Linked DNA regions of Caenorhabditis elegans. The protein of the gene in region 1 purifies or fractionates together with the protein of each later gene. This does not show direct contact. Each region holds a gene or a part of one and is shown in the gene's direction. Other genes may lie near its edges.

Region 1 (3,757 bases):
ACAAAATGTTCAACAGAGTTCAACAAAGTTTAATTTTCTAGAACCACAATATTGAAGTGTGTTTGGGGAAAGTGGCTAGAGAAGATACTGAAAAATGTAGTACATGTTTCCAAACTTACTCTGGTATTGACAAATGAATAACTACACTGAAATTTTTAAAATAAAAATCCCTCGCAAGAAATTGGTAATTTAATTTCAAGTGCCAAATTTGAAAAATTTCGGTTCCTTTCTTTAAAATATTGTTTTGCGTGTTTAAAGCTATACAATTTAAAAAAACAAATATGTATAAAATTCAGGAAAAACACGAAATTTAGGTCGATTAGCAAAATTATTATAGTTTTTTTGGCACTTTTTAATCTATAAATTTAAATAATGCCACTATCAGGTTTCGTTTTTTTGAAAAACTCCAATTTAGGAAATAATGTTTCCAATAGTTTCAGACTTTATTCAAACGATAAACTTCCAGAATATTACATGTTACATCAATAGTTGGTTAGCTATCCGCTTGGAATACTTCGAAATCGGACGAACTTTCCTTATTTTTCTAGAATCTTCTCTTCCAGGATGCCTCACACTGTCAAAGCTTTTTGTTTCATTGTAAGATATATATCATATTTTAAAAAAATATTATTATTATTCATTTTCAGATACTTCCACTTGCAAAATGTTACGGGATTATTTCTAGTTATTTATCGCTTCACATCAGTTTACTCAATAAATTCTGAAAAGGTATGCAGACTGGAAATTCTACTCTAATACTTTATACTCTAATAATATTTTGCGATTAATTTTCAGGTATGGAATCGCTGGTATTTTTTAGTTCCAGTTCTCGGACTGTTATATTCTTTTATTATTATTTCCCCATGGTGGCTTTTTCAAAATTATGTTACTAGAGTTAGAATTATTGATGGGAAACTTATTAAAATAGTTAATCAGGTTTTTTTCAGTGAATAAAATAACATTTCCTAATATCTGGTAATTTCAGAGAGCACTTTTAACTCAAGCATCTATAAATCCATATTTCTCTGCATTTTATTTTCTTTTAATTATATTAATTGGTGTTTGGACTACTGTACTCTTAGAGAACAGATGGAAAAAGAGTCATTCGAGAAGACATAATCACTTTATTAAAAAATTAACACGTGTCATATTTTGTAACAGTTTTTTGATGTCTGGAAATTTATTGCTTTTGGTATTCAACAGATTTCAGGTTTAAAATATTTTTAGTTGGTTTTCAGATTGCCACCAGTGTGATGTACGTTATTTGCCCTTTTCGAACAGTTATTATGAAAATACAAACAATTGCTGTAACATTTACATCGGATATGGTAGGTTATACCAACATCAATTTAATCTGCCCGCAAAGTAAATTCGACCCTCTCCAGCTGATTGGTCGATTCAAGCGGGAAGTTGAATCTGGATATTGTGTGTATTCAGTTGAAGCTTGCTTAGGTTTAAGATTTCAAAAATTTTAAAATATTTTCCACCGCCAGAACAGAAAAACAAGGAGAATGTCAAAGAATAAGTCTTGAACTTTCTTTATTAAGTTCGCTTGTTGGAGTTCTTTTTTTTTCAGGTAACTCTAGCCATGCCGTACATCCTTCTGGCATTTGACTCGAACATGCGAAGAATTCTGAGAATTGAAAAATCAAAAGGTTACGACAGCAGAACAGCATCCAATTATGCAGAAAACTAATATTATTTGTATTAAGTCTCCCATTTTAAAATTTAGTGATCTTCGATCTATATGATTAACAGAAATGATATCACTCACTCAATCATTTTGTCATTTTTCCCCTTCCTTTTTTCTGTTCTAACCCATATCACAATCTTACCAAGTTCGGCGAGATGACCAAGAGAAAAAAGATCGAATCCAATTTTCTTATTTTCTTCATCATTTGATAGTTTTTCCAACTGTTTTTGTTTCGATTACCTCTTCGATTTTTCTATTTACTTTGAATGAAAAGATCAATTTATTTTAAGTTGGAAAAACCTGTTCACATGCGACACTTTTCCGTTGTTTTTACCTATTTTTTCTTCCTTTTGTTTTTTATGATTATTTTTCTAAGTTCAGGTCATTCAATGTGGCCTTTGTTTTTATTGGGTATTATTGGAGTGGTTTCTGCTGGAATTCCAGGCACAAATGGAGATATTCGTCAGCCAAATTTTCAGAAAGAGCTCATGGATGAAGCCAAGGTATGTAGCAGTTTGAGCAGTTTTAAAAGTGAGGAAGTGATTCTGCCTTTCGCTTTTATTTTTTCTCTCATCCTTCGTTCGCCCGGAAAATGCCTCCAAAAGAGAAATAAAATTAAATAGAAAATTAAAAAAAAGGAGAATTCAACTGCAACGAAATACATTGAAATTAAACATTGAAATTGAAATTTTAGAAAAAAGTTTTGAATAAATTATTCAACAGCTACTTTGTCAGTGTGATGTTGAAAATTTTTTGTTTTCATCAGTTTCACAATACATACAAACAGTTTAATTATAGAAACTCTTCTGAAGAAAGTTTCTTAAAAAATGACTGAATGAAGTTTGTAACTGAGAGATTTTCAGGTATATCTCTTCAAATTCGGTTACATGATTCCTGAACCACACCAAAATGTAAAAACAATTCAAGAGCCAAGTGAAAAACAGACAAAAGATGCTCTTATGTAAGTACTAATTGTAAATGTAACTTTTTTGAAAAAGTTGTTTAGTCGCTTCCAATCTGCATTCCTCTATTATTCATCAGGAGATGTTGATGTTCCAACTCAAGCAAAAATGAACGAATGGAGATGTGCTAATAATGATATGGATAAGGGACAACCAATTCCACGTGAGAATAACAGATTTAAAATATTTTAGTAGGTAAATTCAATGAAGCGCGAGACGCCTCGATGGTTCCGCATTTCTTATAGTGTCAAAATCTGATGGAGGTAGCACCTAGAAGGTGTCGGCTACAAAACATTTTATTTGAATTCTATACTCTACGAGGGCTCCTCTAGTTCTTTTTAATTCACAGCTTAATTTCAGCAGCTTCGAAAAAAGAGTTATGGACGAAGAAATCACTGACCTACAAAGTGGTAAACACTCCAAATACTCTTTCTCAAGCACAAATAAGGTTAGCTAAAAATTTGAAAAAACAAATCCTAAAAATATTTCAGATCTGCCGCCCATGAAGCATTTGAACAATGGACCAGAGCCAGTGGTTTCAAATTTGTGGAAACAACTGGAGCAACCCCAGATATAACAATCACCTTCTACGATGTCCCACAAAGCAATTTGAGAAGTAGATTTTCCTTATATAATTCTATATATTTTATACTGTAATTTCAGTTGCTGGAAGTGCATCAAAACCAGTGAACAGTCATATCATTCTTGATAAAAATCAGGAATGGGCATACAAGTCACAAGCCCCAATGGGAATCTCTCTTTATCATACGCTTCTTCACGAAATTGGACACATTTTGGGTTTGCCACACACTTTTTATAGAGGGTAAGTGGTTATAATGACAGACATTTAAATTTTTGTAGCAAATCTGATATGATTTTTGTTGCATAGAAATTTTCAAAATAAGCCCAAATGTTTACCTACTCCCAAATACCCTAAAAATATACAAACTCTACAAAGAAATTCTACAAGCTTCGTAAATTGTGAAAAAAAAGCACCTAAACAATTTATAACTTAACAACATCTTGAATTTAATTTTAGAAATTCAATGCGAAGCTTAGTTTAGTTTAATATAAACAATATAAAAGTTTAATATAAAAAAGT
Region 2 (3,638 bases), 2.1 Mb from region 1:
CTGGAAAAGAAAAACGTGTCGGTTGTTTGTGAACTGACCAAACCAGAAACTGTTGTAGCCGCGCCTGTGCAAGTTGAAAATGTCATTATTTCATTGCCGGTTAAAGAAGATGATTCACTTGCCATATCTGCTGCAAAAGCTAATCTTATTCAAAAAAAGCATCAATCGAAAAGTAGTACAGAAAAGTCGATGATGTCTGTGACAAAGAAACACGAAGCAAAATTCAAAGTTGCTAAATCTGTAACTGTGAAAAAGGATAAAACTGAAAAATCTGAAAACCTTAAATCAGATGTTCCCGAAAAGACGAATGAAGTTACAATTGCAGCATCTCTTTTAGAAGATGTTATGGAGCAACTGAACTTGGATGACAAGAAGAACACAAAAGTAAGTTCTAGCTTAAAGTTTGATTTGTGCAAAATAATAATAAATAAAATGGTTCTCTCGTTATTTCTAATTAATTGTTGGGAAGCAAATTGTTCACTCGTAAAGTTTCAACAAAACTATTTTTAGGCTGCGTCACAATCGAAAATTGTGGACGATGCGAGTGATTCCGATAGTCATGAAGAATTCGACAAATGTGATCAGGATTCAGACGATGGAAGTGACATTGAAGAGTTGGAGAAAATCGAGGACAAGGACGTTGATGCTCTAGAATATGAAATGCTATAGGTGCCAAGTATCTTGCTTTTCTGCCAACGGGTACTTGTGCACTCTGTAACGTGTTTCTTGCTTCAAATTTCTCATTAACATTCTTCCGAATTTTTTCATTTTCAAAATTGTTCAATAATGCCAAAGAACCGTTTGTTTTTCTTTAGTTATTAAATTGAACAAACTGTAACTAAATGTTTTTAACATTCTTATTTGTACATAGAAATGTAACTTCTCTAATTGTTTCATATGTATTCATGTTTCAAGTATTCATTTTTCCTCAACTCCTTATATGAATTTTTGTATAAAATGTAAAAACATCCGGATTTTTCACAATTACCATCCCACCACTGCATAATAATTCTAGATGCCTGCTTGCGCATCATGGCGTCAACAAAACAAAAATGCGTTGTTGTGTTATTTGTTGACAATGACCGGTTTGTAGTAGTGATGGCAGTGGGTGCCACTGCTTTAAGCTTTTCCTTCAAGAGAAAGTGAGTAGACAGGAAAAAAAAGTGAGAAAAATAATAATAGGCTTGATTGAAATTTCTTGTCTGTTCTCATTTTCTTGCGCATGGGTAATGCGTGATACTGAAGCTCGTTAGCATTGTAGAAAACCGAAGAGGGACTTCAAGCTTGAAAGAGGGAAAGTTTTGAAGAGGTGGAAAAATGTGAAAATTGATATAGAAAATCATGAGTTCACGGTGTCAAGTTTCCAATAGAAGGTACAAATAATAGAGCAAGACCAGCACTAAATTTCAGGATAAACACTTTGTTAAAATCTCGCATATTCTAGCTTTAACTAAGTTCAACTAAAAATAGTATTGTTGAGTTTAATTTTAAAATATTTTCGCAAGTTGCGTCCTTGTGGAAGGCTTACTGTACGTATTATGAAGGTACCCACTAGGATGATCCAGTACGGAAGTAAGTCGTAAAGATTTTACCAAACGATTTTTCATAAAGTACGAATTTTTCATAAAGTCTTGTAATTCATAATCGAGGTCACATTGTTGTGGGAAAACCATGCGCTTCACCCACTGACCACCTGATTTCAATAAAAGCTTCTAATATTTCTCTTATCATTTGCTCCAAGCACTCTAGCAGAGCATCATGACGTGTTGTTTTGTTCAATTCTTTTTCTGCATCCTTTACAAAATCAAATCAAAAACAAGCGGGGAAGTGTACGGGGGGTGTGTGCAAATTATAACTCACAAGATGCTTGAGGTGGTCCACTCGTTGCCTCCTTGTTTGTATGTGTGTAGTGTTCCTCATCCTATTTCTCGTTCTCTTTCATTTTGTCTGCTTCTCTACAGCTTTTGTCCATTTATTCTTTTGCATACGATTGGCTTTTCATTTACTTTTTGCATACTTACTACATTTATCCATCTCTTTCATAATAATAACAATAATAATATTTCCAGGGACACTTCCTAACTAACCTGCTTATCTTCAAAATGTTCGAAAAAGTAATCAAACTATGGAGAGATACATTCCCAAAATCGGAGCACAAATTGATGTCAATTGAGTATGTCGCTGCGATTGAAGAATTCAATGAGTATTTCCCTGGATATGCTGCAATGAATGATAGTAACTATTCAAAACTTCAGCATTTCTTCCGTTCTCTTCACCCAATTGGATGTATTAAACCTTTCCGATTTCATTATTCATCGGCATTTGCATTGGAAAACTCATTAGATGACTATCTTCTAAAAAATGCTCAATTCAAAAGAGACGGCTTAGCTGGAGAATGGGCGGTGAGTTTCTAGAATTGTTTTAAATAAAGATGTCAAAATCTTGAACACGTTTGGCATTATTGTCTTAAATTTGAAATTAAATTCCAGTCTGAAAATTTTGAAAGTTTGGTTGGCATATATCAAATGTAGGTTTATTTTGTTAAAATGTACAATGAACTCACAAAAACATCAAATTAACTTTTTAATCCTGTTAGGAAACAACATACACCAAATTCTCTACAATTGAAAAAAAAATCGAATTTTTAGATTCACATCTTTGCCGACCACAACGACCATATTATTGAAAAATACCGAATGTACAAGAAGAAACGACTTGAGAAACTGGAACGAACTTTTGAGGAAAGAAAAAAGAAAGCAGAGAGAATGAATCAAAAGCATGAATATCGCTTGATGTGGTATTTAGGGAAGGAAGGATATTACAAATACACCAATTCACGACTGGAGAAGATGGAAAAAGACCGAGAAATTAGAAATAAAAATGGAAAGGAAATGGAACAAGTCACCTAAACTTCTGGTACTTAAAAATGTATTTTGTGTTCTTCCAAGTCGTCATTATTCGTCTACTTCTACCCATTTGACATAATCTTTTCCTCATCATTCCCCTCGTCCATGTTGTTAATTTCAATAAAACGAAGTACAAATTGGAACAGCGCAAACTATTTTCTTTATATATTAAGAGAAACACACACACAGACCACAAATTCAAGGTCTTTCTTCCAGTTTTAATTCGATAATTAGGATTGCGGTTTGTGTATAAATATGAAGTACCCCCAACTATACAAACTTTATTTTCCTTCGAAATGTCATCAAAAGTTCCAATCTTCACTCTGTCTAATGGAGTTCTCATGCCAAGTATTGGTCTTGGTACCTGGCAGGTAACATTTAAAATTAGTTTGAAGTTTAGAATAAATTAACTACCATTAGCAAGGATTTATTCAACACTTGGTTGTAATGTTACTTGAAATTGCCAGTTTTTGTACATTGATATAATTTTTAGGAATTTTATTAAAGTTTCGGATAGCTGTACCCAACAAATTTCAATAATTCAGACAAAAAATGTTTTATCGGAAATATTTAGAAGCAGAGAAGCAAACTAGAAAATAATTTTTTCGCTCAAAAATCTGTATGAGCCAAAGAAAAGAGTCCACTCTATAATTTCTCAAGAATTTGTTGTATTGGTTCAGTTGTTTACAAAATTTTGATATTTTTCGAAACTTAAAAAACAATTGGCGTCAC
Region 3 (3,757 bases), about 12 Mb from region 1:
TGTGTGCAAATGTTATTTTAGTGGAATTCGATTTATGACTCGCAAACACCAAATGGAAGGTAAATCTAAAAAATGTAAATTCTTTCATTTTGGCGCCAGAAAACTTTCGTACAAAAAATGTAGGAACACTGCAGAAAAATAATTTTTTATCCAGACAGTGGTTTTCTTAAAAAAAAACTTCGTACCTATAATTAAATTCTGATACCTCAAAAATTGAAAAATCGACCACACAACAGCTTCAGGACCCCTGAGGTTTTCAAAAACTTTACAAAAATTTACCATACTTTTAAAATAAGTATCAGATTGTTTAAATATTCAAATAACATTTAATTATGTAATTTGATGAAGAAGAAGTTTTTCTCTGAAAGATTCCTGGTCACGAAACATTTACAATTAACCATAAATCAAAAATTCAAGTCAGAAAAGTACTTGAACACGACCTTCTGGAGAAACGATTTCTGAGAAATAAGGAAATTGGGAAACTTGTGTACCCCGATTGATCAAATTAGCAGGTTTGTGGAAATGTATTACATCAACGATCAAATGTTTATCGGCGTGAAACAACTACCGCGCGGCTCATTTTATTGAACTTTTTGGCGAGTTCAGTCACATTTTGAAAGCTTTTACTTCTGAGTTTCATAAGTATGTAGTTTTTTGGAATATAACTAAATCTATTGGTTTCCAAAAAAATCTACTTAGATTTGGTAGAAAGTTCAATTTTTCTAGATTTGTTAGGTCGTCACTAAGTTTGCAAAAATAGCATAAATTTATGACATTTTCGAAGTTTGTTTGCATTTTTCTCGCTTCGGCAGCTAAGAAGCCACAGACAAAACACAGCAGGATACCTGATTTCTACTGCGGTGTAGTAGATTTCTGGTCAAATTAGAAGTCGAACAAATTATGAGGATCTACTTTTTTCAAACAACTATTCGAACTGAATCCGCTGAGTTTCTTCTAGCAATTCCTACAATTGTTTTTTTTGACATGTACCCCAAACCTTTGATTTTCAATTTTGACTTCATCTTCAGCACCGACTACTCTTAGTCCTTTCTTAGCCCGATAATTTGGATCAAACGTTACTTTTAGGTGGATAAGAAGCTCAATTTTTTTGAATAGGCCCTTGTTTGAATAGAATTAAAACCAAGTTTTTGTCCAATTGATAAATTTCCAGCTGTTGAACCTAGGATTCTGAAATGTTGAAATAAAAAGGTTTCTGTAAAAATTGAAGAACTAATTGTAAAGATTTTTCTGGTAAAGCCTCTATTCCGGACAAAAAATCAGGAAAGATGTGGGGTCCCATTTACTTTCCAATTAACCCGGGAAATGTCCGCTGCAAGACATCAGTTTTTTACACTTTTTTGCCGTATTGTTTTGCATCGCCAACCTAGATGATCATTTGATCTGTCACAAAACACATTTCCCTTTTTAAATGTCCCTAATCACTAACACAGCATTTAGCATTACATCGAAACTCCAAGTCAGAGCCTCCTAGAAAAATAAATTTCCGAGAAAAAAAAATTGAAAACTCCGCACCTCAAATTATCAAATTAGCAGGATTACGGTGGTATTACATCAACGATCAAGAATTTTTCGGCGCGTCCAACTCTACCGCGCGGATCATTTTACATGCAAATGGGGCTTTGAACTTTTAGGCTCTGGTTTTCTGGCTTTTTAAGGAATTTTTCTTGTAACGCTTAGCTTGTGAACACTTTCGGAATTCCTATCGAAACCTATTATATTAAACATCTTCCAGGAAACCAATGGCATGGCCAGACAACAACACCTCAAACTGCCGGGAAACCTACTCCTATTTTGGCTCGGCAGACTATCTGCGCAATGCATATCATTTCACAGCACTTTTAACAGTTCCTCTATCCATATTCACATTTTACACAGTTATAACAAAGACGCCAAAGCGGATGAAAAATATGAAAATCCCACTTTTAATATCCCTGGCTTGGAGCACAAATCTCGATTTGATGTTCACAGTGTACTCGGGGCCGTATATATTTTTTCCGAGTGCCTCCGGAGTACCCCTTGGGCTTCTAGGATATTTGGGAGTAGGTGTCAAGTGGCAGTCGTATTGGGGACAGGTTTCCGTCACTAGTAAGTTTTAGGATCTTTTAGGAAATTTAAATATAAATTTCAAATACCACATGTTTTTCAGTGATGGGTGTCTGTTTTATAATGCTCTATGAAAATCAACATAGTCAAATTTCCACGATTCGATTCAAAATCAAACGGAGAAAAACTCGTTTAACATATTTCGCATTAAACTATTTATTCACATTTGTTGTTATGCTTCCATTTTATCTAGACGACACTGACCAATTGAAAATGAGACAGAAGGTCTTGGAGGTTAGTAAAATGTACTAAAATGCCCATTCAGAGATATTAGAAATGTTCAAAAAATTTTATAAAATTTTATATTTAAAGTCAAAAATGTGAAAACTCTCAGTTTTCACATATCCTAATTTTGGAAGTCGACCAAAAGATTTTTTTTGAATTAATTGCGTTCTTATTAATAATATTGAAACATTCTAGGAGTTCAGATCTGCGGGAATTTTCAATTTTTTTCAAAAATGTCAATTTTTGAATAACTAAAAACTTTTGAAGTGTTTATTATATTTTTCGGTCGTGTGTATTTAACACCCGTCTTCAAATTCAACTTAATTTTACAGAGAATCCCCTGTCCGACGAGCGAATTCTGGGACCCAAAAACCTATGTACTGCTGCAGGGCGGAGAGGTCTTGCCATTCTGGTCAATCACAATTGGTTTTGGATTTGTTATTTTCCAAACTTTTTTCTTTTTGTTACACACCGTTTATCACCTCACACTAGTATCAAGTGCCAAAATATCGGCGGCGACGAAGAATCTTCAGCGAAAGTTTCTGAAGAATGTTTCTATTCAGGTGAGTATAACTATAACTGAAAATTAACTGGAATAGCCAAATGAAACTGCAAAAAAATGCAAAAAAAATTTAAATGGGTTTGTTTCAATTTTAAAAATTTAAAAATGTTTTTGACAAATTGAAAAACCACAAAATTTTTAAAATTTTAAACATTTAATTCTAGCATGTGTTTTTTTAGATCTCAATTCCATGGATTGCCATTGCATTTCCTGTGGCCTACACTATGTATGCAGACAAAATGAATTACTATAATCAAGGTGAGAAAGTGCAAATTATTTAAAAAAGCCAAAACATGGCTAACACGTTCCAAACTTTTGCAGCCTACAACAACAACGCTATGCTAATTATGGCAAATCACGGACTTCTATGCACCTGTTGCACCCTTTTTATTTACAAACCATACAGAGATTTCACTAAAAGTCTGATCCCTGGACAACGATTTTCACAACGGAGAATGACTATCATCGTGGAACCTGTGACGTCTCCACATGGAAGTGTGTCTAATTAGTTTTTTTTAAATTTTCGTTTTATTTGCCAAGCAAGATTTTTTTACAAATATTTAGTAAATATGTTTTTTTTGGACAAAACTTGACTATTTTCACTCGGGAAACAGATGCGCATCTTGCTAGTGAGAGCCATTTTGGCAATTTTGGCATATTCATCAATTTTGAAAAATTTTGGCAATTTCACGAATTTCAGCAATTTTGACAATTTATCCATATCGGCAAAGTTGTCAATTTTGGTAATTTCGATAACTCTAGGATTTCTGACAATTTTTTTCAATGTTCGCAAATTCAAACTTTTTGGCAGTTTTAAAATATTTGGGCAATTTGGACAAACTTAGA

Evidence for each region.
Region 2: the proteins of zmp-4 (region 1) and ZC443.2 fractionate together in Caenorhabditis elegans (co-fractionation; one large-scale study listed by BioGRID). This does not show direct contact.
Region 3: the proteins of zmp-4 (region 1) and srh-56 fractionate together in Caenorhabditis elegans (co-fractionation; one large-scale study listed by BioGRID). This does not show direct contact.

What each region holds. Positions count from the first base shown.
Region 1 is NC_003283.11:14,919,927-14,923,683, reverse strand, and holds the start of zmp-4 (Peptidase metallopeptidase domain-containing protein), read left to right. Parts: upstream 1-2,074; 5' UTR 2,075-2,082; coding exon 2,083-2,196; intron 2,197-2,556; coding exon 2,557-2,654; intron 2,655-2,699; coding exon 2,700-2,818; intron 2,819-3,015; coding exon 3,016-3,103; intron 3,104-3,146; coding exon 3,147-3,271; intron 3,272-3,318; coding exon 3,319-3,478; intron 3,479-3,757. Other genes in the region: srg-54 (Serpentine receptor class gamma), read left to right, coding at 467-597, 648-729, 796-936, 986-1,192, 1,239-1,328, 1,577-1,696.
Region 2 is NC_003283.11:12,809,623-12,813,260, reverse strand, and holds ZC443.2 (uncharacterized protein), read left to right. Parts: upstream 1-2,068; 5' UTR 2,069-2,102; coding exon 2,103-2,402; intron 2,403-2,521; exon of another isoform or gene 2,522-2,648; coding exon 2,649-2,909; 3' UTR 2,910-3,049; downstream 3,050-3,638. Other genes in the region: ZC443.3 (Glutamic acid-rich protein-like), read left to right, coding at 1-384, 511-669; ZC443.1 (NADP-dependent oxidoreductase domain-containing protein), read left to right, coding at 3,203-3,277.
Region 3 is NC_003283.11:2,770,100-2,773,856, forward strand, and holds srh-56 (Serpentine Receptor, class H), read left to right. Parts: upstream 1-1,760; coding exon 1,761-2,106; intron 2,107-2,167; coding exon 2,168-2,358; intron 2,359-2,681; coding exon 2,682-2,912; intron 2,913-3,090; coding exon 3,091-3,169; intron 3,170-3,232; coding exon 3,233-3,420; downstream 3,421-3,757.